Linked DNA regions of Neodiprion lecontei. The protein of the gene in region 1 purifies or fractionates together with the protein of each later gene. This does not show direct contact. Links are inferred from orthologs where the notes say so. Each region holds a gene or a part of one and is shown in the gene's direction. Other genes may lie near its edges. The genes, in order: nucleoporin Nup43 and nuclear pore complex protein Nup133.

Region 1 (15,905 bases):
CAATCTGAGATCCATCCGGGTACATCAATGTGGTATTTAGAGTTATCGAACCATCCGGTCGACAAACGTCGCCGATGTCGTGCATCAGCTTGCACTGCGGAATGCTGAATTTCTGTTTTCCTTAATTAACACACGTGCGAAAATTCAATGTTACGATGCGTATTGCATACCTACTTATATAGCTATATTATGTCGTTTTGGTGCCAAACTCTTCACGGCAAAAGAAACAAAATTCCGGCATGAATAATTAATTACCTGCTGAGATTTACCGTCGACTCACAAAATCGATTTTATCACACGTGTATGAAAAGTCGGGCTTTGCGTAGCAGTCTAACAGGACGAAAGTGGCTAATTTCATTCCAGTGTTGTAAAGATAGAATGGCGCATGCGCAGTCCACGATTGCTTCACTTTTATCCCCAGGGAGAAGAAATTGACCACTCGCGTTCAGTAAAACTGCCTCCCAAAGTCCCGAGACTTTTCATTCGCTTGTTATAAAAACTATCGTGTGTGACACGGGCCGAAAGTTGGCAATCGCAACTCGTGTGATTGTCGCCCTTGATTCGCTCAGGCGCAAACTTCAGACTCGTCGCAACCGCCAACATTTGTCCCTTGTCACAAAATACATTATTCCAGCTTCCGTACTGCGGCATAGTTCCCTTTGTATTTTACATGACGCGAATGAAAATCTTCACAATTCAGAAGCTTCGCAAATTTTTTCATTCCATGTAACTATGCCATGCGATAAGAATTGCAAAGTCGTTAAAATGAGATTTTTAGATTTACGCTTCGCGACGTTTTCAACATAAAAATACGTGTATATTTGTAACAAAATTACAAATTCCGACTGTTGCATCGTTTCACGTGGAATAGAAATAATGGTGCGTCCTTCAGTTGATTCGGACAAATCTCCTAAGAGTTTCGAAGTGTTGGGACTGAACGATAATTGAGATGCTTAAAAGTACAGTCTGCGTCTTACCGATTGTACAACAATATCCGGGCGTACACTCCGAGTTACTTTGGCACTGTATCCACCGTGGCCTGTCCATGACCCTGGCGTAACTGATTTCGCAGATTCCTACGGCCACGATGAGCACAATAAAGGCCAAAGGTTGAGTCATAGTGTAGAGTACTAGTCCACGTGCAATGTTACTGAAACATGGTCATTACCGATCGTCGTAAGAAAATTGTGTGAACAAAAGAAAAATACGCCTTTTTTACGAACGTAATTGCGCACTTTGTGATGTACACGGTATATCCACATGATACATTGGTAAACGTATAACTATAACGCGATATACATGAATTATTCATTACGTCGTATCAGTATATTTCAAACGTTCCAAAAACAGATAATAATTACAGTCCACCACAGCTAATGTTACGATTTAAATATGTGTATAGTATTTATCACTACATGATATAAATATTTACATATATTTGACCAACGTTATAATTAATGGGATTCACAATTCGCAGAACTCGACTTACAAATAATATTATTGTTTATAATGACCCAGATGATATTCACAAGTTCATACTTACCGTTGAGTATAGATTACGGATTATGTTTCCAAGAACGTAATGCCGATAAAGTGCGTCTGAAGCGATTATTTTTTCAACTTTTAGAAATCTACAAGTCCCTGGTATGGGAAACAAATGTTAATGAATTAAATATATCATCACAGCTGATTAATCCTTTTGAAAATAGAAATTCCGGCTTGTTAACTTTATTTGTGTTTTCTCGGAAAGGTAATTATCGATACTCACAAAAACATAAGAAAAAAAATAAACATATTAATAACACGCTATTGTAAAATGAGAGCTGGTTATAGTAAAAATTTTCCGGTTAATCGCTGATCTCTGAGTTATCGGATCTCTCAACTGTTCGGCAAACAAACAGCGAAAACAAAAATATTTCAACGAAACAGCTTGGCACGACGAAATGGTCCGCGTCACGTTAGTTCGTGAATGATTTCTGAATAATTTAATTCCCATTCTCGCATCTGTCTTATTTACACAATACATTTATGGCGTATAATAAATCTCGAAGAACAATGCTGCGTTATTTTACATGGATAGTAATTGATGAAGTCAGTTTTGCATCCGGCGGTAAATGCTAAATATTCAAATTAATATTTTGCAATTCAAGATTCTTATGTTACGATAGTCGGTCCGGTTATAATTTTTATGTTTTTTTTTTTCAATTTATTTCCTACTTATTATAGCTCGGCAAAAGATGAACACTACCCGAAAGCTGATTACCATTGCTGTATAATACCGCGGTAAATGTAATACATTGAGATAATTGCCCTCTCTATACGTATAACGTCAAGTATACATATATGTATATCTTCGCAAGGTGAAGGCCAAAATGCAAATCCGTTGGGAATATTGTATCATTAATATCTATAGACTGACAAAAAAAACATGCCAGATGAGAATAACCCGAGGCTGATGGTAGTCTTCGGTAACGCTGTACGTACTTAAATTGGCACTCATACATATTAGCGATATTTAAGTACGTAACTGTATCCTGATGAGTTTTGTACTATTTCTTCCAACTTTATGCAGTCACGCCGGTCGATAAACTATTTTTTAGAAGAAACGTTTAACTCTTCTTTTATGTCCGCTTACATTAATAGAGATAATTGTTTTCCTCCCTATATTTCTGACCGTATAAAAACGTATTTCATGTTCAGACCAAATTATTCTATTGCATGCACACTATGCGGATTACAGTAGTTAGTAACACCTGACGACGAGTGATCGTCATCGGAATCCCGGATATGCGATGATGTATCACGTCCTGACTATTTATCCTTAGGATAACTGAACAACTGCAGAGTATTTCATTTTGATCGTCCCAGATTACTCCGAAACTAAACAATATACGAAAAAATGTTGTTTTTTTTTTCCCCTAGCTGGAAAAGTATATTTTTTGTACAGGCATCTGAAAGGGTATCAAATTCTGGGTGATAAAGTACTACGAATTAACCAACTAAACTCGTCTGACACTGTTGGGTAATATTTGAAATGGTTTCATTTAAAATATAAATGGCATTTTGCATTTAACATTTTAAATGTTGTTAAAGTAATCATTCACATTTACCCATTTAAATTATGTTTTGAAAAGCATTATCAATTTCTTATTTTAAGTAGCTTAATTGAAGCATTTTACCCAGCAGTGTCGATGGGTCAGTGGAAATACTTGAGGACTCGAGTATTCTAATACCGGAAACTATAAGAATAGTTCTCTACGTGAAGTTTATAAAGTTGTACTTGTTACCAAAAAATAGCGCAATTTTTTTTTTTTTATTTCCCAACTTTAGTTCAAATCGTTCGTGTGTACTTATTTAACGGTATCTTGTTCTTATCGTTGATACTTCTCAGGGCAATGATATTTAAAAAAAACCAAGTTGACCTTCACTTGACCCAGGGTGTTCCACTAACGAAAAGTCTGACACTCTCGTATTCCCCCCCCCCCCCCCCCCCCCTTTAAACCATGAATATTTTGTAGTAAACAATATTTCGTATATTGTTTAGTTTCAAAATGAAACACTCTGTATACTGCAGATTACTGTATAATCGCTGATCGCGTTCGTTTTTCATTAAATAATTATACTTGCCACGATAGTTTCGATATTGAAATTGAATATTATACCAACCGTGCAATTAATGTAAGGCTCGCCTCGGTGAAAAACCGTGATCAATTCTTCAATACTCAATGTCTGAATGTTGAAATGACACTAAAATAATTCACTAAAGGATACAGTAAATCTCGCTGTGCATCTAATTTACGAATAAAATATTGTCACAATAAAGTTTTTTTAAATTCAATTTAATTTCAGAGTTCTTTTAAATTTTTGTAATATTTGAGGAACACTAACTTGGCAAATGCGCTGAGGCGTGTGATTGTTGAATCTGATGAACGACTTGTTTTATACCGCGGTTCAAGTCTTCCCGCAAACGAGGAATGGCCACAGTTGTGTGCGTCTTAATATCACTCGCGCACACTTGTCCGCGGCAACAAATAGACGACTACAATAAAGCATCGGGTTTTATTACAGCCATCTAATGAGTCCTCTGCAGGGGATTTCAACGCACATGGGTAGGTGTATGTACACGGTAACCATACATGGACTGTTATTACATACGTGCAACCTGTAATTACTGTACATACGTAGCGTGATGATCAAGTAGAATATTATACCTGTTGTGTACAACACCGGTAGAGTGATTTCTGACAATTGATTGCTGGTGAATAATACGGAATTACTAATTGTGTAAACAACTTGATGGATTAATATGGCACAAACAAGAATTGGTATAAGAATTGATACGCACGCACCTTTTTGCAATGAACTTTAGCGTTAAGCATTGCAGAACCTCGACATGACAATCGTACGACAAATCTTTTAGAAAAAAGACTTTTGCGGAAATCGTTTTTTTTTTTTTTTTTTTTTTTTTTACACTTTTCACTATTGAGCTTGCCCGGACTCTGGAGTCATATCAAACGGATCGTGATATGACTCGTTTGGTAGGCAAATTTGAAAAATCGCTGTGTTATGCTGACTTAGAATCGGAAGTTTCTCGACTACGACTCCGCAGCTGGGACTGTAAATATCAAACAAACGGAAAAAAATTAATGGGCAAAGTACTGGAGGTATATCTACAGCATCATGGGTTTAGTCATTCTTGTTTAATAGCTAAAAAAATATATTCTTACTAATAAGTTAATACGAAAAGAAACAACCAAAAATGTCGATAAAATTCTTATCAAACGGCTTACACGATGACAATGCACAAAGCTTTCATTAAAAATATGTACACAATTTACACGATGCTTAGAAATTAGGGCTTCCGTCTGTTTGACATTGAGACTTGCATTCTCGGGAGAAGCTTCGACTCTTTAGATTTAACTCAACACTTGAATGCAACTGAAATCGAAAAAGTCTCAATCAAATATATAGATCAATCTAAAACTTTTATTCGAGATTTCGTCAATATATCTAGTAGTGACGTTGTAAGATTACTTTATACCCTCATCGAGAGTGGTAAGCTTGTTACACCAACTTATCGTCTGTATGTTACAATATCAAAACGATTGATAGAGCAAAATTCATTTCGAAAAACTTTCACAATTATCAGGTACAAACAAGCAAGTTTACCGACTAGGAACATATTGGATGATCGAATCTGTAATCGATGTGAGTTTTCCAGTTCACCGACACTAATCGCTGTGTAAAGATTCAAAGCAATATTATCGGTAAATTGAAAAGTCGACAGTGTTGTGCACGGTATGAATGCAATTGCTCTGATGGGTAATGTAGATAACAAATGCCACTTTTTTTAATAAGTTCTTCGATTTCTATTACATTTCCATACTTACATATTTTAAGAAAGTATGGAATGTACCTAGCCCAACGCTGTTCATATATGAGACATCATCTAATCTCCCGAATGTGTCCATAAGTCGCATATGTTCCAATTTTATTACAAGGCGTTTGTTATCCTCAAAGGTTTACCATTGCTTGAAACATGAGCATTGGATGACAACCGCATAGCACTTTGATGGTAATCTTCTCGTTAGCTGGTATGAATATCGCGGAGCCTCGTGTAAGAACTATGGAGGGGCCAATCTCTGCCTTGCCATTGACAATAATTAAAATGCTGCCTGTACTTCTTGGTATTAAATTATATACTGCTCTTCCAGGTGGTATCTGCAACATATTTCGATTAAACTTGTGTACATTGATATTACGCTGAATTGACATAAAATAATAAAGCACTCACAGTAATCTTTGCAACTGCAAAATCAGGAACTGGAGGTCTGAATATTTCTGTACACTCATCTTCCCGTGACGGTTGAAACCTTTTGGCAGATGCTGGCTCACAGTTGTATGTCAACATATCTACTAATGTATTTACATCTTTTGGTTTTGGGGTTAATCCTGCTCTTACAACATTGTCTGAGCAAGCCATACACTCGATACAATCTAAATATAAATAGCAAAAGTTATTATATTCATTATTACCATAATAAAACAAAGAATGTGTATTTACTAAACTGAAAATATTTCTGAATAAAGAAGTAGATACTGAAAAATTTCAATGACAGAAATTTGGAAGGACTCGCTCACCACCCGAAAGATATGCATGAGGCTCGTTAGGTCCTAGAAATAAAGCTTCCCCAGGCTGTAGCGTTACCCAATTAAACAAGTAAACACCAAAGCATCCAACATCTCCAGGAAACTCAGAGTGTAATTTCTCTAGCAAGCTGCCATTGAGGGCTTGCCTACCTGATTCATCTGAAACAAGACAACTTTGCCTGTAAAATCATGGGTAGAAGTTACAAGATTATTCAACACAGATGCCTGAATACCAACCTAAGTGCGATAGTCTGTTCAGTAATTTTTTGAGTTGCAATGCAACAAATCCTGGATCACAGGTCATAATATTTTTGAAGCAGTTTTTGAGAGCTGCATGAAGACCTACTTCATCCGAATTAACCAGTTCCAATATTTTATCTTCTCCTACAACAGCACGGAATTCTGGAACAACCTTAAAGAACTGCTTGATTTCAGATATTGGACGAAATCCGCACAGAGCTTCAAACGGGGTAAGAGCAATCGCTAGTTCTGGCTTGTGATTTGGATCTTTGTAAACGCCAGGGTTCAGCTTGTGAAGCCTCTCAGCATCTTCCTAAAACCAGTGTTATTACTTTGTAGACTCAAAATTTTCGATTCAATGGTCGGCATCGGTGGGAAATAAAGTTTTCACCTTGTTGGGATGAGCTTGGATTGACAAAGCCTTGTTAATCGACAAAACTTTTAATAAAAATGGCAGTTGAGGGCCGAACGTTTCTTTTACACCATTGCCCAGCATATGGTTGTGCTCTTCGATATATTCGGCCAATAATTTGTTCCCCTCCTTCAAATATGATGGTCCATTGGGATGCGTGCCCATCCAAAGCTCTGCGTAAGGCTTGCTCTCGTCTAAAGAAAAATCTGGATTTGCTGCCTTGACCAAATTTGCTACAGTACTTTCGATACCACGTTTCCCCCACTCGTATGACTGGACTGAACATTTTAATTCCATTTTGTTGCTTCAGTTTCTAAAAATTAAGACAAGAGAAGTTATAAATTACTATAACAGTAATATTATTAATAATTGTGATAATGATTACAAAATAATAGACAGGTGCCTGTTTGGGAAATTCTTTAAACTGCTAACGAGTACACGTCAACACTTGAGAATAACTACGTGGAATGAGAGGTGAGCTAATAGAACACAATTATCCAGCTGATTAAATACAAAATTAAATACTTGACTGGTTTGGGAAAACAGATGAGGACTTCAGAGAACATGGAAAGATATGTGTTAATATTAGCAAAAGATGAATGACCATAATGTATGTGTACAAAGGTGTTTCACCGAAATATTTCAGCGTAATAATGACCAAGTGGCAAGTAAGGAAATAATAATGTTGATTTTCTTGCAAGTAACAGAGAATTAGGTGGATGAGATTTTGAACTTAAATTGCAGTTGACGTATCGCGCAAACACGATGCACTATAAGGAAATAGAAATCGTTTACATCGATGTAATAACAGTAGTAATGCCACCGGTGATAAGATAACATTTATAAACACATTACATCCTAAACATACGTAAGGTTAGAGATCGATTGACTCACAAACGTGTCCTTCGTAACATACGTTCGCAATCGATCACAACAGTGTTGTATTAACAACCTGTCCAAAGTGCAATATCGGATATCAAACGGACGTGAATACATGTGTCAATATGACGAATTGTATATCGATGGGATGTACTATTCACAATCAATTTACAGACGCTTCGATGAGAAGCAGGTTCGTTTAGTATCTAGTAGCCGGAAAGTTGTTGTAAAGTTAACATCTCAATGTAATTTTACGAGATCACTGACCTGCGCTAGGTCAGTGTCGCATACGCTGATTAAAAACTGAGCTGACTGTAATTATGGAGTTGATTTTCGTTAAAAGATAAAGTTGATAATGTGTTGCGAAAGGCGTTGAATATGTCGAAAAACTTTTCGGCTCTCTAACCGCGGAACACAGCCCAGCGACCAACTTGCGACTACGGACACTGGAGCACACGCACGCAGAATACTAGATGACGTATGCATGCATGCTGTATACCTATGTATGTATGCGTATGTGTGCGGGTGCTATAAGTACGCATACACGTGATGCATCTCGCCTACGCCTCTACCTAACCTACACTAGCATAAATAGGTATATATGTATGACTTTCATCCAGCGCTATTCAATTTTTTTGGAAAGCACGTCACACGCTACGTCATCATGTCCCTTCACGTGTGATGACGTCGTATGATAAGACCCTTTGACTGTTTACGATTTGTGATTGGGTGCCCCGTTGAATCCAGTATTTAAAACCTCATTGCTCGGAAATTGAATCACGGATACTATAGATTGAATCGCTATGAATCTTTTTATGTTTTCTCAAGATTAAGAACAGTTCACAAAGTCAGAATATTATTCTTGTTCAAATAGTCAAAATATAGCTCGTATTTTATACTTTTAACATAGGTATAACAACTGGAAAACGGAGCAATGAGGCTGTATTTGCTAGACGTGACAGAGAGTGTCAGTCGTTTGAGTCGGGTTAAAGTTCGATTAGCGTTGTGAACCGGATGTAACTAAAAGATAATTACAGAAAACAATAGTACTGATAAATTAGTATCAAAGAAATTTGCAACAACTATTTCATGGTACATACATCAAAGTTCAACCCGACTGGCCGCCTTTAACCTGACTCCAAATCAACACCCATCCTCGGTGGGTGTGTTTTATTTACCACATTTCAGAAACGAAAGTATTGAAAGACTCATATGATTGGTTAATATTTAAAAATCAGTCAACCGGTAGCTTCTTTTAAGCCTTTCGTTTCCAAATGAGATCAGTGGGCCACAGTCCTTTATTCATGATGCGTGCGCAGTTTTTGTCGAGAACCGAGTAGTGGCAGAATGGTTTGAGGGAAAAACGGTTTTGATAACCTCAACAATCAGAATTCAAATAAGCAGATACAAGATATCCAGGTTGTGGCAATTAAAATGAGTGAAAATATTCACGGAACATTTATTTCCGAAAAAGTATCAAAGATCAGATGGAAACCCGAGGACTTTGTTGAAGCAAAATCGTTTTTAACTGGAAGCTGGGATAATCCGGTAGGGTTAGGTGATAGGTTAGAAATTACGCCGATCACCTATTTATTATTCAGTAGTTTGTTTTACAGCAATTTAAAGTATTATTTACATTCTTGGATATGATTTTTGATTCACGAATTTTCGATACTTTAGATGTATTTCTCTGGTATTACGTGTTTCTTCATTTCTTGCAAATTAATCACAACAGTCAAGCAAACTGTAATAACAAAGAAAGAAACCCGGAGTTTTTGATTGAATGTGGGCGTTTACACAGGGGTTAAGCTTAGGATTAATTTGCGCTCTCATATACCGTTGCCAAAGTTCATGAGTAATCGTATTTTATCGCTGTCCAAAACCATCATATACGTTACCTATCATGTTCATGGACTTCAAAACAGTGCAACTAAGGGTAGAACCTGAATCCATCAGTACTGTCACTCTGCTATGCAAATAGCCATAGCGTTTTGAATTTTTCTTCATTCAGCTTTTATAATATGATCAAATCACACAGGTGAACCATATAACATATTGGACATTCGACACAAATGAAGAAGACGACGAGTCTTATCCCGTGATAATATCATCCCACGCATTTCTCGGCGACGTTACAGAATTAAGGGTAATAAGTATAGATGAGCATTAAATAACGATTAGATATTACAACGCTATAAACAGTAATTTTGTAAATTATATTCGGTGTTTCATCCTAAAACAAAGTTGGTTTTTCATTTTCATAATTTTCTGTGTTTAAGTTTATCAGCAAGGATCTGTTCGTGGCATCATCCTCTATTGGTACTGTACAATTGTTACAAATTCAAGAAAATCCTTATGCACAATTCAAGGAACGGTTGTCATGGAATTTTTTACATAAATTTCCGTAAGAAATTTTATTTCCCATTTATATGATTCCCTTTGCTCAAGCATCTGAGAATCCGACATTTGACTGAATCCGTTTATTAGACTCTAAACATTACGTTGAACAATTTCAGAGCATCGGATTACGCTTCATGTACGGCCATCTCAACTTTCGAGCAAGACATAGTCACAGTGGGAGAAGATGGTACGATCAACTTGTTAACAGCCAATCAGAAAATTCCGGTGAGAACAATTGGTAAGTAAACAGAAAGTAAAAAAGAATATCAGATTAAAATCACTAATGAATATTCATTTGTCTGGCAAAATTGTATCTAACTTGCCAAATTTTTGCCTACTTTATTTTTTTTTTAGAAAAATCAGATAGCTGTTCCATGCACTGTGTTGATTTTCTAAGGCATAGTGAAGTTTTGACAGGAAATTTATTGGGGCACATGAAAGTATGGGATTTAAGAAACAACCAGGATGTTCCCTCTACTACTTTTATACTCTCTGCAAATACAAAGGTAAGATTTTAAATACTTTTTCATTTGTCGAAGTGGCAACTGATTTCATAAGTCAAAATTTGTTCTATTTATTTTCTCAGACCGAAGCCACAAGTTTAGCACATCATCCTACACAGAGACACATTGTAGTTGCTGGTGGCGGTGACGGTAGCCTGACAGTGTGGGATTTGAGGCATAACACATATCCGGTTTCTCAATTAAATGCCCATTCCAGCTCGGTCAGCGAAATAAAATTTCATCCTGATAGACCGGAAAATTTGTTTTCGTGCTCGTCAAGTGGACAGCTATGGCACTGGAACAATGCACAGAACACTAAATTGAAATTAGGTGATTGTTATAGCGCGCGAGTTCTCAATTTTTCTGTTACTATACTTTATTCTACTTTTAAGATTGGATCATTTGAGACAACGAAGTCACTGTAATTTCTTTTTAATTATGATTAATATATGTAATTATATTACAGATTCAGGGGACACGCATTGGCTCAACACAATCAGTACAAAAGGAAAAGTGAATGTAACGTCAATGTGTGCAACGCTTCACAAGCCAATCAATACAATCGATGTTGACAGGTCCACATTACTCTTTGGCTGTGACAACGAAGCTATGTATGTCATTAAAAATATCGCAGTGTAAACAACTGCATTTATGATATACTTGTACAATATTGTGTCTTATTTCATAATAACTGTAATTAAACGCTGCCGTCTGTATTTTCTAATAAAATTGACACTCGTTTTTCAATCTCATAATAATTATAACAATTATCAGCCGCATATCTCTTTGTGCTGAAATTTACTTGACAAATTATGCGATACAACTAGAAAAGAACGATCGCATCCCTCTGTACGAGATGCTCATACGTATTGATTGTTACGAATTTCGAGTTTGAGAATATGTATTCCCGACAAAGTCGATACTATTTTATGCGGAATTTCCGCATTTTTCCGGTAACACCTAATAATTTTTTTTGTTCTTTATCGTTTGTCATGGAAGATGTGCTCATTTGGTATTCAAATCTCGTGTTTTATTGTAACAACTCGTGTCGATTGCGGAAGGTCAAGCAGGGGAGAAAGATGTTGGAATTGCCGAAGGTAACGTATGTGCACCTTCTTGACTTTAATTAAGAAATCAAATTTATCAAAGACAAAAATGTATTTACGTGAAATTCACTCTGACTAAACTAGAGAAATCCGAAGGTATTACGATTCCACATGCGTGGAATATTATCGAGGCACGAGTTTTGTTGACAATGAGTTAAATTTACGCAAGAATACAATTCTCATTTGAAAAACTACAATATGTTAGCATTTGACCAGTGAAAATAAGTTCACTCATGCTCGTTTCCACACCACCGCAAGCGGTAGAGCACGCGGCGCGTTTTTTTTTCTTACGTGGTATCCCCAGTAGGCCTACTCCACGGAGAATAATAGCAAGATCGATCTTACGTTCTTCGACAAATTGCGGATAACTATGTTTCACGTGTTAATTATGGTGTACTGTTTTTCCCAATCAATTTGTACTCGCGTATATTCGCAGTTTGTTCGAAATTTTTCAGTTAGTATGGCCCGCTGACTATTTATTATAAATTAAAGATGACTGTTTTAATTATGGATGGAAGATCATTGTTTTAATTATGGATGAAAGGTGATTGTTTTTATGTTGTAAGCGAACGCTGATCTTTGGATGTTCGGTTTTTTTTCTTATGATGTATGAGATAATCACTAAAATGGAGAATTCAGTAAATATGCAAAACAATCAATTAAACCAAGATCGAAAACGCGAATCGCTGTAAGACGTTGGCATTTACCTACCGGAAGACGATGCAGAAATCTTTGAAGAAATGAAAACAAATCGGAGGAGTATAAGCACAACCACCCAAATACGACGGAGCTGTATAATTCTACAGTGAAATACAAACCGAACATGACCTATAAGCGATTCGAGAAAAATAACTCTTGAGACTAAAACAATCGCAATAAAAGACTGTATAACCATTTAAAAAAACTGCAGGAGAAAAAATTTGACCACACTTTGTGATCATGATGATTCTGAACTACATCGCTAAATCTATGTATCGGTGACAACTAAATCAGACCTGAACCAAACCTAAATCTAAAAATGGTAACGTTAATTTTTCAGTAGTACAGTCAATAAAACTCATTTACCTGAAACATATGAAAATATAATTAGTGACATATATCGATACAGACAAAAATATACTTAGCTTAGATAAGTAAAAAATATAATAAACCAAAAAGAGACAAATTAGTTAGTTTCAACAGACAGAAAATTTGATTAGCTGAAAAGGCAAGAGGTTTGATAACTGAAACGGACAAAAAGTTTGATTAGCTAAAAGAGACAGAACGTTTGATTAGCTGAAACAGACAAAAGTTTGATTAACTGAAACAGGCAAGAGGTTTGATAACTGAAACGGAGAAAAAGTTTGATTAGCTAAAAGAGACAGAAAGTTTGATTAGCTGAAACACACAAAAGGTTTGGTTAACTGAAACAGACTGAAAGTTGTATTAGCTGAAATAGACAAAAAGTTTGATTAGCTGAAACAGACGAAGATATGGTTAGCACAATCACATAAGTCCATGTACTGACAAAAAATAGGTTGAGTCCAACATATTCGCTTTAATATACGTTGCTTCGATTATTCATTGTATTGATCAATAAAAAACATTCTAAATTTTTTAAATAGACATCTCTCTCTGCTTTGAGTTATTGAAGTAAATATTTTTTTCGATTGAAAATTCTTTAGTTCTCAGTGCGTTTGTTAAAAAAATTGGTCAAGTTGCCCTGAAACAGAAAATAATGCGATCAGTTAAATAAGTGTTTCTGTACATTTCAGATATATTTCATAAATACTTACGCCAAGATTTTCCACTATCACTGTACACTATCGAGATTTTTGTACCAGCGCGTTGAGCGCCGGGTTTCAAATGCTGCGCTTTCTCTCATAACTAAAAGATATCAAGTCCACGCGCAAAAGACACCGTGGAACTTGAAAACTTTATTATTTGTAAAAAAATTGACAGAAGAGCTGAAAGATCAGCACATCGAGAGTGCGTAACTCTTTTATATACTGTTTGAAAAATCGACGAATAAAAAAACGTGTCCCATTCCCGTTATTAATTTACGCGCAAAAGGCTGCGTCCAATTCTCATGATTAATCTACGCGCAATAAGGCGCGACAGATTAAACTGTCAAAAAATTTGTATTACCTGGGACTTGTCCCAAAAATTCTGTAGAAACCCAATCCACATCTGTATCTTTTTGAATTAAGTACATTGCTATGCGGATTGTTCTTCTCAGATCATAAATCGAATCGAAATCGGGAGGGAGGTTGGAGGGCATGCATTATTGTGTGGCGTGACGGTCGGCGGTCCTCTTCGACGCGAAGTCTTCGAGCTCAGCATTTCTCTCCATCTAGCGTACCACGGAACGCGATAGATGGTCTAGAGATGCGTTTTGCTCATTCAGACGATCACAGAGATCAACCTCATGCAATAATGGTCGCTAATGACTAAATAATTGAATTGAATTGAATTGAGTGACGATTGAAAAATGGTTGCAAAGCGACAAGAAATAGGAAATTCAATCTCTTTAATATTCAAATGCTCACAAATGATCGAGAGACTCGAATACGGAGTCATTTGGGTAAACAATTTCTGTGATCGTTTGACGCTGTGGATTATAAAAGTTAGTAACATCACGGTACATCGCAACCTACCTACCCTTGCCTGTTTCCCAACGCAACCACCCAACGGAAAAGAGACTCACACACGCATGCATAAGCCCCGCGACGTGTCCCAAAACGTCCACCTACCTACCCGGTTACCTATATTCGATCTAAACGATTCTCCATTTTTTCCAACACACGTCATTCTTCATCATTTGCGCCGTGGTCATCGACTTACATTTTCGTTGGTTACCTGTTGGGAGCAAAATGTTTTTGTATCATAGTCTGCCTACTCAGAATATAGTATCGCAGTTGCATTCCGCCAACCCTAATATTGTAGTAAATCTTGGCAGACTATCGGTACATTAACCTTTTGTAAAATTGATTAAAAACGTCCTGTATGCCAATTAGCATTTTTCTAAGCGAGCTAAGCCTGCAGTTGATCAATATTTGTTGGCTGTTTAAAGATTGAAAATGATGCATAATATAAGATGCAATTTCATTACGTTACGTTATGCCAGCCTTTGGAATTTTATCGATTTAACAATAATGTGAATAATTGAATACGTTCAAACCTCAGGTGAACCCACCACTTAAACGACATCATCGGTAAAGTCAAACGTAGATTACTACAGCAGTGTGAAACGCAATTCGATCTCGCGAGTGCCGAGTAAGTGATGGTTGCCTGTCGCGATACTCATTCCACTTTTAGCAACGTGCAAAATTTATAACTTTAAGTAAGCTACGATAAATTGAATTGCGAAGGAAAAAATTATTCGACTAAAGGTCAAGCAAGTTGTGATCGTGAATGAGCCTATCCATGCAGCTAAGAAATCGAAGATTTGTGCAACAATTGTTACCGCCACGCCACGTGACAGAGGAATCCCAGGGAAATACCCATAATCTAACACGTGCAACTCACCAACATTGCCGAGGAATGGAAAAATAACTCGGAAGTCTCTGCTTAGATCTGTAAAAAACAAAACAGAACATTTCAATTAATTTAATAAAATGGCTTTTCAGTCTGCAAATTAATTATTACTGTTGTCCAATTTCGTATTCATTGCATGTTATGCAAGAACAAAAGTTCGGCTTTGTATGTACCACCTTGAATTATCAAACAATAATGAAAATAAGTATTGTTACCTCGACTCTGGGCTGCTCCACACTTTTACATGTAGTAGTTCGTGCAACATCTGAAGTTTATTGGAGAAGCGAAGCACGTTTCACGTAATTTAGATCGTCACTCTCATAGTCCAAAAATCCGCACCGCAATAACACTCGAGGCTACATTCACTTTGTGTGCTGTAGCTGTCTGAACCGACTGAATAAACTTTTTAACTATACAACTGCGCATTTACCGAAGATCAGCAAAAAAAAAATAAAATGAAACTGACACACGACGCACAGATGCTAAAATAGACATCACTGATACCTAAAGGTACACAAAACAATGGAAACTCGAGACACGAAATTCACCTTGAACATGTTTTCATTTCAGTAACTCGGTTTCTCTTCAAGCTACACGCTACTCTTCGTGTATTGTTCACAGATGAGTATGGTGCAAGTACACTGATCGAACAACGCGGTCTGAATGTTGAAATAATCCTGCGTACACATTACGCCGCTC
Region 2 (16,190 bases), about 8.2 Mb from region 1:
CGGTGGTTGGAGGTGGTCGGAGGTGGACGAGGAGGAGGACGAGGTGGACCAGGAGGAGGACGAGGAGGAGGCGGGGTGGGTCGTGGGAGAGGACCTCTCCTCTCCTCAGAGGAGGGGAGGGGGAGGGGCAGGGAAGTGGGAGCGGTGGGCGGGGAGGGGGAAGGGACGGGAAGGGAAGGGAAGGGAAGGGGAGGGTGGCGGGGCGGGGGGAGGTAGGGCGGGAGGGAGGTAGGGGGGAGGGGGGAGGGGGGAGGGGGGGAGGGAGGGCGGGAGGGCGGGAGGGCGGGAGGGCGGGAGGGCGGGAGGGAGGGAGGGAGGGAGGGAGGGAGGGACGGCGCGGGGGGGGGGGGGTGTACTGCTCTATTGACTCTAACGGGCTCGCATCGATATCCGTTCTCCACTCTCTCCCTCCAACCCTCCCTCCCTCCCTCCCTCCCGCCCTCCCGCCCTCCCTCCCCCCGCCCCGCCACCCTCCCCACCCCTCCCCTTCCCTTCCCTTCCCTTCCCTTCCCTTCCCTTCCCTTCCCTTCCCTTCCCGTCCCTCCCCCTCCCCGCCCACCTCTCCCACTTCCCTGCCCCTCCCCCTCCCCTCCTCTGAGGAGAGGAGAGGTCCTCTCCCACGACCCACCCCGCCTCCTCCTCGTCCACCTCGTCCTCCTCCTCGTCCAGCTCGTCCTCCTCCTCGTCCACCTCCGACCACCTCGGGTGATACCTGGAATAGTAATGAATATTTTTAGTATGAGAACACATCAAAAATATTGTGTAAGGATTAATGTAATTAATCAATTAATTAATAATATAATAAATTGTACAAGATTATTCATAACTACTGAATATGTGCTTGCACGGAAAATGAATTGAAATAATTGATTGTAAACGTGACAAGTTTGTAATATTTCAGATGAAATATAATTACAATTGCCATCACATATTATGAAAGTGTTTTACTCACCCAGCACAAATCCTCGCCCTCCTCGTCCTCCTCCTCGTCCACCTCCGACCACCTTCAACCACCTTAGGTTATACCTTGAATAGTAATAAATATTTTCAGTATAAGAACACATCGAAAATTTTGTGTAAGGATTAATATAATTGAGTTATTGATTAAATAATTATTTAATAATATAATAAATTGTATAAGATTATTCATAGCTACTAAATATGTGCTTGCACGAAAAATGAATTGAGATAATTTATTGTAAACGTGACAAGTTTGTAATATTCCAGATGAAATATAATTACAATTGCCATTAAATATTATAGGAATATTGAACAATTAATTAATAATATAATAAATTGTATAAGCTTATTCATAGCTACTGAATTTGTGCTTGCGCAAAAAATGAATTGAAATAATTCGATGTAAACATGAGAAGTTTGAAAAATTTCAGATAAAATATAATTACAATTGCCATGAAATATTATAAAAGTGTTTTACTCACCGAGCACAAATCCTCGTTCCCCTCCTCCTCAATCACCGAGATTACCCGCAACCACCCCTAACTACCTCCAACGAAAACTGCCAACCACCTCGAGTTATACCTCGAATACTAATAAATATTTTCAGCGTGAGAACAAATCAAAAATAATGTGTAAGGTTTGATATAATTTTTTTATCGACATATTTTACTAAAAAGATTATGAGAAGATTGTAAAGTTAAAGAAATTTTATTAGCGCACCGACAGCTACTGAATTTGGGCGTGCGCGAAAAACGAATTGAAATAATTTATTGTAAACATGAACCAGGAACCACGGAGCGCTTATCCTGGAAGTCGAGAAATTTTATTAGCGGACTGACAGCTACCGAATTTGAGGTTGCGCGAAAAACGAATTGAAATAATTTATTGTAAACATGAACCAGGATCCACGGAGCGCTTATCCTGGAAGTCGAGAAATTTTATTAGTGGACTGACAGCTACTGAATTTCAGCTTGCGCGAAAAACGAATTGAAATAATTTATTGTAAACATGAACCAGGAACCACGGAGCGCTTATCCTGGAAGTCGAGAAATTTTATTAGCGGACTGACAGCTACCGAATTTGAGGTTGCGCGAAAAACGAATTGAAATAATTTATTGTAAACATGAACCAGGAACCACGGAGCGCTTATCCTGGAAGTCGAGAAATTTTATTAGCGGACTGACAGCTACTGAATTTCAGCTTGCGCGAAAAACGAATTGAAATAATTTATTGTAAACATGAACCAGGATCCACGGAGCGCTTATCCTGGAAGTCGAGAAATTTTATTAGCGGACTGACAGCTACTGAATTTCAGCTTGCGCGAAAAACGAATTGAAATAATTTATTGTAAACATGAACCAGGAACCACGGAGCGCTTATCCTGGAAGTCGAGAAATTTTATTAGCGGACTGACAGCTACCGAATTTGAGGTTGCGCGAAAAACGAATTGAAATAATTTATTGTAAACATGAACCAGGAACCACGGAGCACTTATCCTGGAAGTCGAGAAATTTTATTAGCGGACTGACAGCTACTGAATTTCAGCTTGCGCGAAAAACGAATTGAAATAATTTATTGTAAACATGAACCAGGATCCACGGAGCGCTTATCCTGGAAGTCGAGAAATTTTATTAGCGGACTGACAGCTACTGAATTTCAGCTTGCGCGAAAAACGAATTGGAATAATTTATTGTAAACATGAACCAGGAACCACGTAGCGCTTATCCTGGAAGTCGAGAAATTTTATTAGCGGACTGACAGCTACCGAATTTGGGGTTGCGCGAAAAACGAATTGAAATAATTTATTGTAAACGTGAACCAGGAACCACGGAGCGCTTATCCTGGAAGTCGAGAAATTTTATTAGCGGACTGACAGCTACTGAATTTCAGCTTGCGCGAAAAACGAATTGAAATAATTTATTGTAAACATGAACCAGGAACCACGGAGCGCTTATCCTGGAAGTCGAGAAATTTTATTAGCGGACTGACAGCTACTGAATTTCAGCTTGCGCGAAAAACGAATTGAAATAATTTATTGTAAACATGAACCAGGAACCACGGAGCGCTTACCCTGGAAGTCGAGAAATTTTGTTAGCGGACTGACAGCTACTGAATTTCAGCTTGCGCGAAAAACGAATTGAAATAATTTATTGTAAACATGAACCAGGAACCACGGAGCGCTTATCCTGGAAGTCGAGTTTCACCGCGTAGCGGACCCGAAGCGCGGGATCCGGGAGGTTGAGAACCCGGTACTCGAAATACGTAGCGGACCCGAAGCGCGGGATCCGGGAGGTTGAGAACCCGGTACTCGAAGTTTGCGGAGCGCGACTCTCAACCGTCCGCTCTACTGCGCGGTTGTTACCAGACTGAGGAACTCGGCTAGCCGATTTTAGATTGGTGACGTCACTTTCCGAACATCCGAAAATTCAAACTTTGGTTTCGAACTGTAATACTAGGTATGATGATGTATGATGTATGATGTATGATGTATGATGTATGATGTATGATGTACGATGTATGATGTATGATGTATGATGATATGATATGATGTATAATGATTCTAGTGTTCACATTTCATACAAGAAATACACACTTTATCTGTCCTGCCGATTCCAGACTCAAGCGGCCAGGCCCTTCGATGGTCAGCCGTTGACTGAAGATATATCCTTTACTTAACGGGTCAGCCGATAACGCTGCCGTTCTGCGACACTTGGATGATGAAAAATTTTGCTCGTATCTTTCAAATGTGTGTTAAAATACACTCGAAGTGTTAAGAAGCTTCGTTCTTTCTCTTCCTATCACCTTTTTAGGTCTTTAAATCACTACGCAGCGTTAAATACTATCTCATATACGAAGCATCCATTTCATCTCGTTCAAAATTAGCGCATCCGTGATGTATTACAGTTACTCTGAATTTTTTTCCATCCGAATACTTTTCGAAAAACAATTTTGCTTCTCTACCCAACGTAGATACTTCACTCTCGACTAGCTAGAACAGCGTTTTGGTTATATGCCTACGAAAATTCAAGATCGAGAGAGCAAATGAAAAGTTGTTGAAATAATTATGAATACTAATGTTATGGAATACATCGAGCGCGCGTCGAATAGAATCCCATTTCGAAGTGAATAATTCTTCTCTTTTCATATAATAGCTAATCTAGTAATATAGGTAAATAGGATGGTTGGAGGTGTTCGGAAATGGTAGGACATTTCAAAAGTTAAGGCTGACGCCCACTGCACCGCGGCGGACCGCGGCGCAGTTATCGTGAGATGCGCCCACTATAGTCGCGTGACCACCCGCCGATACTGTTTCTACGAAAAAGAGATATTTATCAATTATCTGATGACCACGATTTGTCTCAGTCGTCATGGGCACACAATAAATAATCATGCATATTTGCCACTACTTCTTGATTACTCATTATGGATAGCTCAGATGAAGAAGTGTTTAACACGAAAAAAAATTACTAACAATTGTCCATCATAAATTCGATAAAAAGGAAAAAAGGATTAAAAATCAACCGACAATGCTCATCTTTCGCCAGAATTTTTGTTTCTACCTAAACTATTTCGGGTGTGGCTCGTTGGAAAATCGTAAATTTTTTTATTTTGAAACACCCTATTATACATATAATATATGTATAGTAAAAATGAAATAAATTTTAGCTCAAAATATACTCTCTCATTTCTTATGCATAAAAATTAATACGCAAAATAAAAAACAGTCTTCATGAAATCAGCATCATACCCGAACAATGAGAAAAAAATAAATTTTTTACATAAAATAATCCGTTGATCATAACTTGTTGTTCTAAAACTCACATTTACTTAAATTTCTTTAAAAATGAAGTAATTACTTGCGTAACATTTATTTAATATCCGTAGGATTTATTTAAAATGTAAAAATGAATACATTTATTTTTCGCAAGAACAGCGGAGAGAATGAAAAGAATCCTTGTAAACCATAACCATTTACATCAAAGTAACGCAGGTTTCCCTATTTTTATACTTGGGATGAATTTCGGCATCGGTCGGGTGTTCACACTAGACGACGGCGATGCGCGGCGATGCGCGGCGCACCGCCGAAATATTCCCAACCTGGAACTCGCGAAAAATTGCCGCGGTCCGCCGCGGTCCGCCGCGGTCCGCCGCCGTCCAGTGTGAACACCTATATGGATAACTGTATGAGCGAAAATTTCGCCGCCGTCCGCCGCCGTCCGCCGCGGTCTAGTCGGCGTCAGCCTTAAAAGTTTTTCGCCCAAAAAAACAGCAAGGCTTACCCCTTTGTATTTTTGGCGAAAATTTTTCCGATTTGAAAAAGCGCTGAAATAAATTATTTCACCTACTACTCCGACGTAATTTTGCGAGAGAAATAGATTGGGCGCAGTCCCAATACGCTGCGATCAACGAATCAAAAGTTACAGCCAAAAAACGAAAACCCGAGATTTCGACATTTTTCAGCAGGTGCTTTTTCCTTCGTGATTTCTATCCTGTTGATTCCACGCTGTTTTCGCTGCGTTTTCTGAGTTCCTCGGGGTCCAATTGGTCAGAAAAGGGCCACACAAATCGAATCGGAGACTAAAAGTTTTCCGCCCAAAAAAAACAGCAAGGCTTACCCCTTTGTATTTTTGGCGAAAATTTTCGCGATTATGAAAAGCGCTGAAATGAATTCTTCCACGCACTATTCCGACGTAATTTTTCGAGAGAAATCGATTGGGCGCAGTCACAATACGCTGCGATCAACGCATCAAAAGTTACAGCCAAAAAACGAAAACCCGTGATTTCGACATTTTTCAGCAGGTGCTTTTTCCTTCGTGATTTCTATCCTGTTGATCCCACGCTGTTTTCGCTGCGTTTTCTGAGTTCCTCGGAGTCCAATCGGTCAGAAAAGGGTCATACAAATCGAATCGGAGACTAAAAGTTTTCCGCCCAAAAAAAAACAGCAAGGCTTACCCCTTTGTATTTTCGGCGAAAATTTTCGCGATTTGGAAAAGCGCTGAAATAAATTCTTTCACCTACTACTCCGACGTAATTTTGCGAGAGAAATCGATTGGGCGCAGTCCCAATACGCTGCGATCAACGCATCAAAAGTTACAGCCAATAAACGAAAACCTGTGATTTCGACATTTTTCAGCAGGTGCTTTTTCCTTCGTGATTTCTATCCTGTCGATCCCACGCTGTTTTCGCTGCGTTTTCTGAGTTCCTGGGGGTCCAATTGGTCAGGTGAGGGTCGTTTACATCGAATCTGAGACTAATAACTTTCGACTCTGAAGTCGAAGAAATAGTAAGGCTAACCCCTTTGTATTTTTGGCGATAATTTTTAAGATTTTGGAAAGTGCCGGAATGAATTCTCTCATGCACTATTCCGACGTAATTTTGGGAGAGAAATCGAGTAGGCGGAGCTTCAATACGCTGCGATCAACGCATCTCAAGTTGCAGCCAGAAAACGAGATTCTGCGTTTTCGACATTTTTTAGCAGGTGCTTTTTCGCTTGCCGTTTCTCTCCTGTTGGTCCCACGCTCTTTTCACTGCGATTTCTGAGCTCCCGAGGGTCCAATTGGTCAGGTAAGGTCATTCACATTGAATCTGAGACCAAAATCTTTCGGCTTCAAAATCGAAGGAAAAGTAAGGCTAACCCCTTGGTATTTTTGGCGGAAATTTTCATGATTTTGAAAAGTGCCGGAATAAATTCTTCCATGCACTATTCCGACGTAATTTTGCTATAGAAATCGAGTAGACGCAGCCTCAACATGCTGCGATCAACGCGTCCAAAGTTACAGCCGAAAAACGAGATCCCGTGTTTTCGACATTTTTCAGCATGTGCTTATTCGCTCGCCGTTTCTCTCCTGTTGGTCCTACGCTCTTTTCGCTGCTTTTTTTGAGTTCTTGAGGGTCCAATCAGTCAGGTAAGGGTCATTCACATCGAATCTGAGACCAAAATCTTTCGGCTTCAAAATCGAAGAAAAAGTAAGGCTAACCCCTTTGTATTTTTGGCGAAAATTTTCGAGAGTTCGAAAAGTGCCGAATTAAAATTTTTCATGCACTATTCTGACGTAATTTCGCGAGAGAAATCGATTGGGCGTAGACCTAATAAGCTGCGATCAACGTATCTCAAGTTACAGACAAAAAACGAGATTTCGAATTTTCGCCATTTTTCTGCAGGAGCTCTTTCCCACGTAATTTCTCTGCCGTTGGTCCTAGTTACTTTTCGCTTGTGATTTTTGAGTCCCAGGGGGTCCAATTAGTCAGAATAGGATCATACAAGTCAAATCTGAGATTATTTATTCATTATTTACCATGTGCTTTATTCTATTAAGGTTAGAATCTTATCATGTCCAACTTTTTTCATGTTTTTCATTCTACGGTCCACACAAAAATTTAAAAACAAATACATCACTCAAACAACTTCACAAGGGAGAAAGGCTTTGACCTGACTTATTCTTCATTTTGATACCGTTGGATATAGCGTTCTCTGTGTTGCCTATCTCAGCGACAACAGCACTCTTTTCGGATTTAACGCTAAAAATTTTCTCCACTTTCATAGACCACGTTCCCAACACAGCGTTCGGTCTCCCTACTTCTAGTCTTCATGGTTTCGCGCTTAGCTGACTACGGCGCTGTAGGTTTCTTCATGTTGCCAACTCAACTGTCTACAGTGAAAAATTAGCCGTCCCAGATTCATTGTCCTCAAGTGTACATGCGCATGCGCACGCGCTGTCGGCTTGCCGCACACTCAACTGGCGGAATGCGCGACCTAGTACGAAAATTGGTCCCCTATCGAGCACACCTTACTTGACTCCTTACATCATGGTCATGAAGATCGATTATCGAAATTCGAAGTTCGAACACCGGCTTCGAAAATGCGCACTGAAACGTACCAAAACAAATTGTGAAAAGATTATGCTGTCAGACCAATATCAAATTCAGTTGAATTACAATTTCTGATGCGTATTTGCCAGTTTCAAAGACCAAATTTTCTTGCATCATTTATTCATCCCAGTACCAACTCGAAATGGATCGTCCGAGCATGAGTGCATCTTTGGGAAACACTCTAACCTCACCACGAAAGAGAATGTCATTAACGCAGTCCCTGAAGAAGAGTAATTCGTAAGAAATCTTCCTACTGTATCATTGATTTCGCAATCCTTATCTCAGAATACGGGAAATATTTCGGCAAATTTCCACTTCAATGAATGATTAAAAATTTTCGAAATCTCTTCACCAAATGTAAATAATGTTTGGGATTGAATTCGTTGGATGAAGAAAAATACGATATATTTCCGAGAGAATTTCAAGCAGTCGGTTCAAATCCCCAGTTATATTTCCATGGCCCTGAAATATAGTTTTCTACATAACCAAACCATGTGTAAACCAATAATTTCTTAGCATGGTTCATAGCTAAGATGGGTAATTAGGGATACTGGGTAGACGAAACTTGATACTCTTCAATAGTCTTATTATGAGGTTGTCGTCCCTGGAGTATTCACCAAACTGTTATAATCATAAGTTGAGGAGATATCACCAAGTTTGAGAATACAAAAGTAAATATTACTAAAGTTATAACTGAAAGCTTAAGTATCAATGTTTCGTTTCCAATTGCTGAAAGACGGTTGCAAATATATCAGATTCCAGCCATTTGTTTCTGCAGGTCCTCATTTTATTCAAGAGACCATATTGTACATATTAAATCGAACAATGTCTTCATCATAATTGCATATCTGATTTTTTGATATTATAACATTGCACCAATTTCGATTATGGTCAACAAATGACAATATTAAATTAAACACTGAAAGAAAAAAGAAAATGTCTGAGAACATAGAAAATAGTCTTCGAAATAAAATAAACTCTAGTCTAATGAAATCAATCCACACTGCTAGATTTTTAACTTTTTCGAAGCAATTTGAGATCAAGTATCGGTATGTAAGCTCTTGTTTGAAATCCCAGTAATATTTATTTGGGTATTTTTAACGTGATTTTCGTAGCTTAAGAATATAGTAATTGGTTAAATACTCAGTGTATGACAACCTCGTAATAAAATTGATAACCAGTATCGATATTTGGCCCAAAAACCTCCTCAAAAAAATATCTATGTAATGTGAAACAACGTAAGTTAATTTTTTTCAAATATTGAACAAACAACGCACATACACGCGTAGCCACCGCTAAACATACTGCGGAACTTATAAAGTATCGTAAGATTTCACCTCTCATCGAATTTCAAATCCAGCTAACAATTAAAATGCGCTTATTTGTTCTCATCTGAATATAAATTGTTCAATTCCAGAGTAATAAGCATTTCGGGGCGATCGAATCAGTCTGTCCAAGTAATATGCAAGACGGCTGGCCATGTCGTGGAAAGTTTCGGACCTTCTTTGCCGGTTCTTGTGACCGAGGCATTGACGTTTGTTGATCGAAACACCGCAGTCAGCGTCAGTGTGTCTTTAGATGGATGGGCTTGGCTGGTTTGCGGGCGCAGGCTCCTTGTGTGGCAATGCAAAACAACCATTCATGATCCCAAGCTCAGGCGGACCTTTAACAGTCAATGTCGAGAGTTGCTACTTCCTCAAAGCGACCTTGCTCACAAAGCTGACTGCATTGCTGTCTGGCTGACTCCGGGTCATCAGGTTAGGTGTAAATCTAGGTGTAACAAGGAATAGCATACCTGAAGTTTCGATTGATCAAGCTTCAAGATTGGTCGGAAAGGATTCCAATAATACCGAGTAGATCACTGTAAGACTCGGCCACAGTTTTAATAATTCTCTACTTTTCAAAAGCCTCTCAGGTTTCATTCACTTTTCAGAAATTCGTCATCTAATCACAGTATTGGTAGAAAAGTTTGGTTTTCGATCAGACTTGGTTCATCGAAACTTCAAGCATATAGGTCATAAAGAATAAAGAATTTGGTGAACAGAAAATCAAGTAATTTAATTAATTTAGATGAGAAAAAAATTTGACAAATTTAGAAACCAGGCTCCGATTCATTTTTACTGGAGGCTTTCGACTTTAACCTGGAAAATTTTAGTCTTTCTGTAAGGATGTTGTTATTATATCGCATTTTATTAATCATATTTCTCATATTTCTCATTTTTTTAATACCAAGGTTCCTAGCTGCATGGCTGTATCTCCGGAAGGCGTAGTTCGCTACTGGTCAAGCGTCGCTCATGAGGGGTCGTCGGTGGAAACAAGCGCAGAATTGGCTGGACAGGAGGTTGACTGTCTAACTTACGTACCAGGGCACGGTTGCATTTTAGCAACGACGACTTGCACAGTGGCGCTTTTGCAGCCGCAATTTACCAGTGGACGAAACAGCATTTCTTGCCGAGTTCTTCGCACCAGCCAAGGCTGGCTAGGAGGCATAAGTCGTAGGATGTCTTCCTTGATCTTTGGAGCCATGCCTCAATCTCCAGTCACTGAAACAGTACTGAATTTTTTAATTTATTTAGCATTTTTAGAGGGATTAACTAGGCTCAAAGTATAGTATAACCACCACTCACGAAATCATATGAAATCCTTTGAAATTATACGGTGAAATCTCAGGAAATCTACTGAAATCCCATGAAACCTGTTGAAATCGAGTGAAATTTTTTGAAATTCCTAACATTTTATGAAATATTCTGAAATCCTGTAAAATCCTGTGAAACCTCCTGAAATCATTTAAAATATTTGATATTTTTGTAAATACAAGAATCCCCTGAGACTTCATAAACTGTTTTCAAATTGTTTGAAATCCGGAGAAATTCTGTGGAATCTTGTGAAATCATTAGAAACCACCAGAAATCACTAGAATCCTTTGAAATCTTATGAAATTCTGTAACATTCTGGGAAATCTTGTAATATCTATGAAACCTTAATCCTTAAATCTGCTATACACACAAATTGATGAATTTATTTTCAAATAATTAGTGCTCGGGTTTTGTGGAGCAAGAGATATTTCAATCCTAGTTGCACATTTTCATTAAGTTGATTAAAGTTCATGCGAAATATTCCATGTAGCTCGTAGCAAATAATCTTTCAATAACAGGTGATTTTTCACATGTCGATAGAATTTGTGAAATATCGGTACGACCTTCAATATTTCTGCATCTGCAATCATGTACGTTAGCAGGCCGCAGCTTTCGCACGGTCGTCTGAGTAAAAAGTCACAGTCGACGATTTTCTTTCTGATTCAATTGTCTAGTGACGGTACTTTTTAATTACTTTTCTAGACGGCTGCAAAATCTATTTTTCTTAATAAATCAGTGCTTTAGTAAACAGTCTATTTGGAAGTATGTGTTGCTTATTCACAGAATGTTGATGGAGAATTCAGCATTGCGTATCCAGTGGTTGCTTAAAAGTGAAGTCTTTTCCAGACCAGAGGACTTGATAAAATTCTTTCCAAGACTGCATCAGTTAAAAAAGAAAGAAAAAAAATCAGTTTTTATGGAATGTATAAAGTTTTGGACAACATAGATATGGCAGAATTTTTTCCACTCTCGCGAGATATCTCCAGAAACTTTACCGATTTCTATTTTGACATTTCACTGAATTTCACTAGAATGCATGGAATTTCATGAGATTTCTCACTTTCTTGTGTTGAACAGTAAGAGTTTGCCTGATGTATTTAGTTTTTCAGAAACTTGTCAAGGTTACTTGTACATCGCTTGGTGAAAAAGCATCCAGAGTCTTGATATTAGCAGGCACCTCTCTGCAATACTGGTCATTTCCACACGGTGAGACGGAGAAGATGGAATTTGACGAAGACATCGGTCACACAGTTTCACAAGGTTTTCAACGAAGATTTTGGGTATGCAATTTCAAAGAATACCCCCAATTCCAGATTTCTGCACTGTTTTAGGGACTATATACGAGTATATAGCTGAAAGGGTGGGTTATTCTTAGAAATTTATATTTCTACAACCAATTGTTCAATTCGATTAGATTTGATGTTTTCAAAAGCATGTGGCTTCAGTGAGCTTCATTTAGAAATTTTTTCTCATTAGAATCAATTACCGAAAATCACTGCTATTGACAATAACGTCAACGATTTTGCTGCGTCAAAAGTTTTGAGGTGACCATGATATTTGGCGCAATCTCATAAACGGCTCAAACCAATTTACTTTAAATTTAGAGATAGCATTTTTGGACAGTTATGTCACTGATCAAAAGGATTGGCATGATTGTCAATGGTAATGCGCCTTATTGATTAGATCTGATACAATAGATATGTAAATGATGTTCTGAAATTGCAAAATTCATTCACTTTTTCAGCTGTCTAGTCATACGTACCAACTTATTTCTGGTTGGATCGGAAGCTAATTCAACTCCCTCTGTAAACTGAGTCGAGTTTCTCTTCTTTTCGGTAATTTTTCTTTCAATTATTCATCACAGGAATCCAGTGCTTGCGTGCCTCAGGGTATGGATACCTGTTTAATCGACATGCAGCCATGCGAAGAAGGCGTAGTAGTGCTGATGGCAGCAAGTTGCACAGAAGTATCGCCAGAAATTCACTTTGCGATTGGTAATCCCCTAAAACTTGTTACTAAACAAATTTTTTTTTATACATCTTTATTGATTTTAATGCGAAAATAGCAGTAAAAACTTAACAAGCTTTTCGACCAAATATCCATTCAAAAGTTTATTTATTCAGTTGCTACAATTGAAAAAACAAATGTTCGAAAGCTATCATTTCTGTTGAAAAACCCCAAATTTCTCCATAACTGAAGTTGGTGTCGGACTTCGGTGATCAAATGTTTTGTTGTATTTTTTTTTTTTTAAATAGACGTCTAGGGACCAAAAATACTTGGATATCAAAGTATAAGAATACGGCAATGAGAATGTATCAGCAAATTTAATTCGCAGGCTCTATGATCCGAAAATTTGAAATCGTTCTACGGAAAGAGCGTAAGCCAGAAAAAAATGGTATGTCCTTGTAGTCTAATATTAGCTGACGTTCCGTCTGGCGAAGCTCCTGTATTAAATTTGCTGAAACCCCGTTCTGTGTTATGGCAAGGTGGTTTTCAGACATTTAAAAAAAGATACAGAAAGTATGAGTTATTTAATCAACGTCATTAATTACACTTAAAACTGATAATATCTTCACAAGCCTGGTTATTTAATCGTATGAAGTGTAAGATGTATAAATTCAATTTTAGACACATTTTTAATGTAAAAAATACAGACTTTTTACCTTTATATGTCTACAATGCATACGTGTACATTCGTAGGTTTAATTCCACTTGTTGATACGAAGTTAACAAATACACTAAAGTGGTTTATACCTTTGAAAATTGGTCCTTTACGATACCGAGATGACATCGAATCTACAATACTTTCGTATCGATTCATCTTGTCTGGATGGGAGGCCATTATATACAACCAACAGACGGTACTCATTGCAAACCGTGAGTAGCATTTCTTAGTTTAAAACGGTACTATTTACTTCTTTGATGAAAGCTGAACATCTAAAAAGCGGACGGCTAGGTAACAGTTCCAGTTCTTAAGTATTCTCATTCAATTTGATAAGTTTATTCTGTTGATGTGTAAACTTTATACAGGGAATTTCCATCCGTTTTTATCTAGCGTTGGACGGTCATAATTCCCAAATTTATTGTAACTTCAGTACACGGTAATGCGCCTGTATTTTTCTGTTTCTTGACATCTAATTTTTTCGGCGTTTTTGAACATCTAAAACAATTGCGTCAAATTATCACCAAAATTGTAAAAACCCTAAGATCTTGCTGAAAGTAATATTTTCATTTATGTGGAAGTTATGAATTATTTACTACTGTTCAGATTTACCGCTCAATCTATTACTCTAGATTTTTCAGGATGCTCTGAAAATTCTATATAGAATGATTAAAAATTCTGGACACCCTTATAAATATTTTGATAATTGCAAAAAATCACTTTTACAATGGTTTGGATTTGGTTCCAAAGCTACTTGTTAAAAGAGGCCGATGAGAGAGACTTTACTGTTTTTCCTCAAGGAGACATGTAGAATTACACATCTACTTTTTATGTACCTTATACATTTATTTTCCACTCTTATCTTGCACCCCCTCTTTTAACCTTGTTCACTTTAAAATTAAAATATTGACTGAAAATTCCTTCATTTGAGTAATGAAATACTTTTTGGCCAGTTTTGAAATGTTTTGAACGTTTCAGAAATTGCGTCTTTTTCAAAATTAGCGTTTTTCTTGCGATGTGAGAATAATTCTACAAAATAGTGGCAATCGAATTATTAGAAAATTTTATGCCTATTTCATATACTTGACTGTTATTTATTATGCAGTATATCTCAAGAGAATCTTAAAAAAATAAAATGAAGATTATACGCTACAGTGTACAAAAAAGCAAATGAGTTAATTTCCAACTTTTCTGTTCAGAAAAGCCGGAGAGTTATTAAAATTTGTACGTCATGTTAATTTTTCTGACCATATTTTTATAGGTATGTCAGAACATGATCAAGAAAAAATAGATCTCGTCAAAGGCGGTGAAGATAACATACTTGGCGGCGCACTCTGTTCGGGAACTCCGGTACTTTTCACCAAAAATCTGGGGCTGGTTACGATCATACCCATGGATTTCAATGCTCAAGATTTCAACATGTATGTTGATGAAATTGGTCTAACCTGTTTGGTGGGAGCGTGCAAATAGTTTTAAATTATGAATAGTTTGAATCATTTGAGTATTCGATTCTATCACTTTTGTTATTTAAGCTCCGCTTGAATACTTGCATCATTTAGAATGAAGATATTAGCAAGACATCGTATTTTCTTTTTCAGGAGTTATTCTGACGCTAATTTCAGCCTCGATTATGGCGGCAACAATTCGACATTCGGCGCAGAGAATTTTGCTGCTCAATTGAGTAACAATGATTTGCAGGAAATGACCTTTACCTCAGATGGTGCAACGCAATTGAGTGCAGCGTTCCTTCTTAGTCTCAGACAAAATAAGGTAAAATACATAGAAAAAGGAGGAGAACGTCTGTTTCAAAAATTTCAATTATTTAATTCATTTGTGACATGAATTTGTTGTATTGTAACTATTAAGATTAGAGGTGTGCCAATCATTTGCAATCACGATAATTTAATTTTGAGATTTGATAACTGTTCGAATTTATGGTTTAACTAGCTGAAATTCGCTAATTCTTTTTATAAATCACATTCAATTTTCTATCCACAAGAATCTTATAAATATTCTCAAAACACGAAAAAACTGGAGACATCAGGATTGGAATGTGAACGATTTGAACTACTAAAACTAGTGGAATAATTGTGGCCATTCAAATTCATGAAATAATTCTAACGGTTCGAATTACAGAAATAATTTTAACTATTCAAACAATACAAACTATTCGCATGCTCCAATATTCGATTCGATTTTTTAAACGCATTTCACTATTTCTTTCGATTTAATTCGATCACTATTAACACACCTCTATTAAGAAAGCAAATATGTAAGATTACCAGATCCAGAAAAGTTGCGAGAGTCGCGCAAGAAATTGCAATTTTTTATAATTAGTCACTTCATCTTCATTGCATTGCCGTCGGACGAATCACGAAGTGCAGGATATTCAGAGCAACCGAAATTTAATGTTGTCAATTACTGCACGAGCTTATATTTTTTACAGGCTCAATGTCAAGAAATATTGTCGGGACTTTTTCCCCTTCAAGAGGAACCTGTAATGGACATTGACGCAATTTTGGACACAACAGTCTTAAAAGTCGCTAAAAATCTGATTGATGATTACCCAGCCAACGATCCTCGATGGACAGATCATAGGGACTTATGTCAGTATTTGAACAATTATATACTCGTGGTGTTTAATGTTGCAAAATGTGAATCTCACGTGTTTGAAGCTATTAACCCTAATTGCTCACTCTGGGTGAATTTCACCTCAAACATCTTTCAAACTCTTTGTAGAGTCACTTTCCCGTGGAAATGGGTTTTGTTGTTTTTTTTTTAAACTTTGGTAGAAGTGAACGCCGTCACGCTGGGTGAATTTCATCCCAAACATTTTTCAAACTCTTCGTAGAGCCCCCTAGTCGTAGTAATTTTGGTGAGGAAAACTGGTAGAGCTTTTTCTGTGATCTGTAAACAATACCAAGATAGATATGTTTTTTTTTTTTAGATTTTTAGAAATCTCCATTGAAGCAGGATATAATTTTTTTGGAACTGGGGTGAATTTCATTATCTGTGACCGTTATGCGATTCTACTGAGGTTTAACCAATTGGGGTTAAACTTG

The links.
Region 2: the proteins of nucleoporin Nup43 (region 1) and nuclear pore complex protein Nup133 purify together in Homo sapiens (affinity purification with mass spectrometry; 5 studies listed by BioGRID and IntAct, counting the BioPlex papers as one, with this or other methods). This does not show direct contact. The link is inferred for Neodiprion lecontei from reciprocal best matches to the Homo sapiens genes NUP43 and NUP133.

The regions. Positions count from the first base shown.
Region 1 is NC_060264.1:26,622,351-26,638,255, forward strand, and holds nucleoporin Nup43, read left to right. Parts: upstream 1-8,978; 5' UTR 8,979-9,115; coding exon 9,116-9,229; intron 9,230-9,719; coding exon 9,720-9,827; intron 9,828-9,960; coding exon 9,961-10,085; intron 10,086-10,197; coding exon 10,198-10,319; intron 10,320-10,435; coding exon 10,436-10,587; intron 10,588-10,667; coding exon 10,668-10,914; intron 10,915-11,050; coding exon 11,051-11,223; 3' UTR 11,224-11,336; downstream 11,337-15,905. Other genes in the region: astakine, read right to left, coding at 1-120, 978-1,119; mannose-6-phosphate isomerase, read right to left, coding at 5,515-5,721, 5,795-5,997, 6,142-6,309, 6,388-6,703, 6,782-7,099. UniProt on the Homo sapiens protein: Component of the Nup107-160 subcomplex of the nuclear pore complex (NPC). The Nup107-160 subcomplex is required for the assembly of a functional NPC.
Region 2 is NC_060264.1:18,451,625-18,467,814, reverse strand, and holds the start of nuclear pore complex protein Nup133, read left to right. Parts: upstream 1-8,637; 5' UTR 8,638-8,766; coding exon 8,767-8,879; intron 8,880-9,247; coding exon 9,248-9,587; intron 9,588-10,063; coding exon 10,064-10,381; intron 10,382-11,575; coding exon 11,576-11,746; intron 11,747-12,330; coding exon 12,331-12,460; intron 12,461-13,166; coding exon 13,167-13,343; intron 13,344-14,389; coding exon 14,390-14,549; intron 14,550-14,726; coding exon 14,727-14,898; intron 14,899-15,574; coding exon 15,575-15,734; intron 15,735-16,190. UniProt on the Homo sapiens protein: Involved in poly(A)+ RNA transport. Involved in nephrogenesis.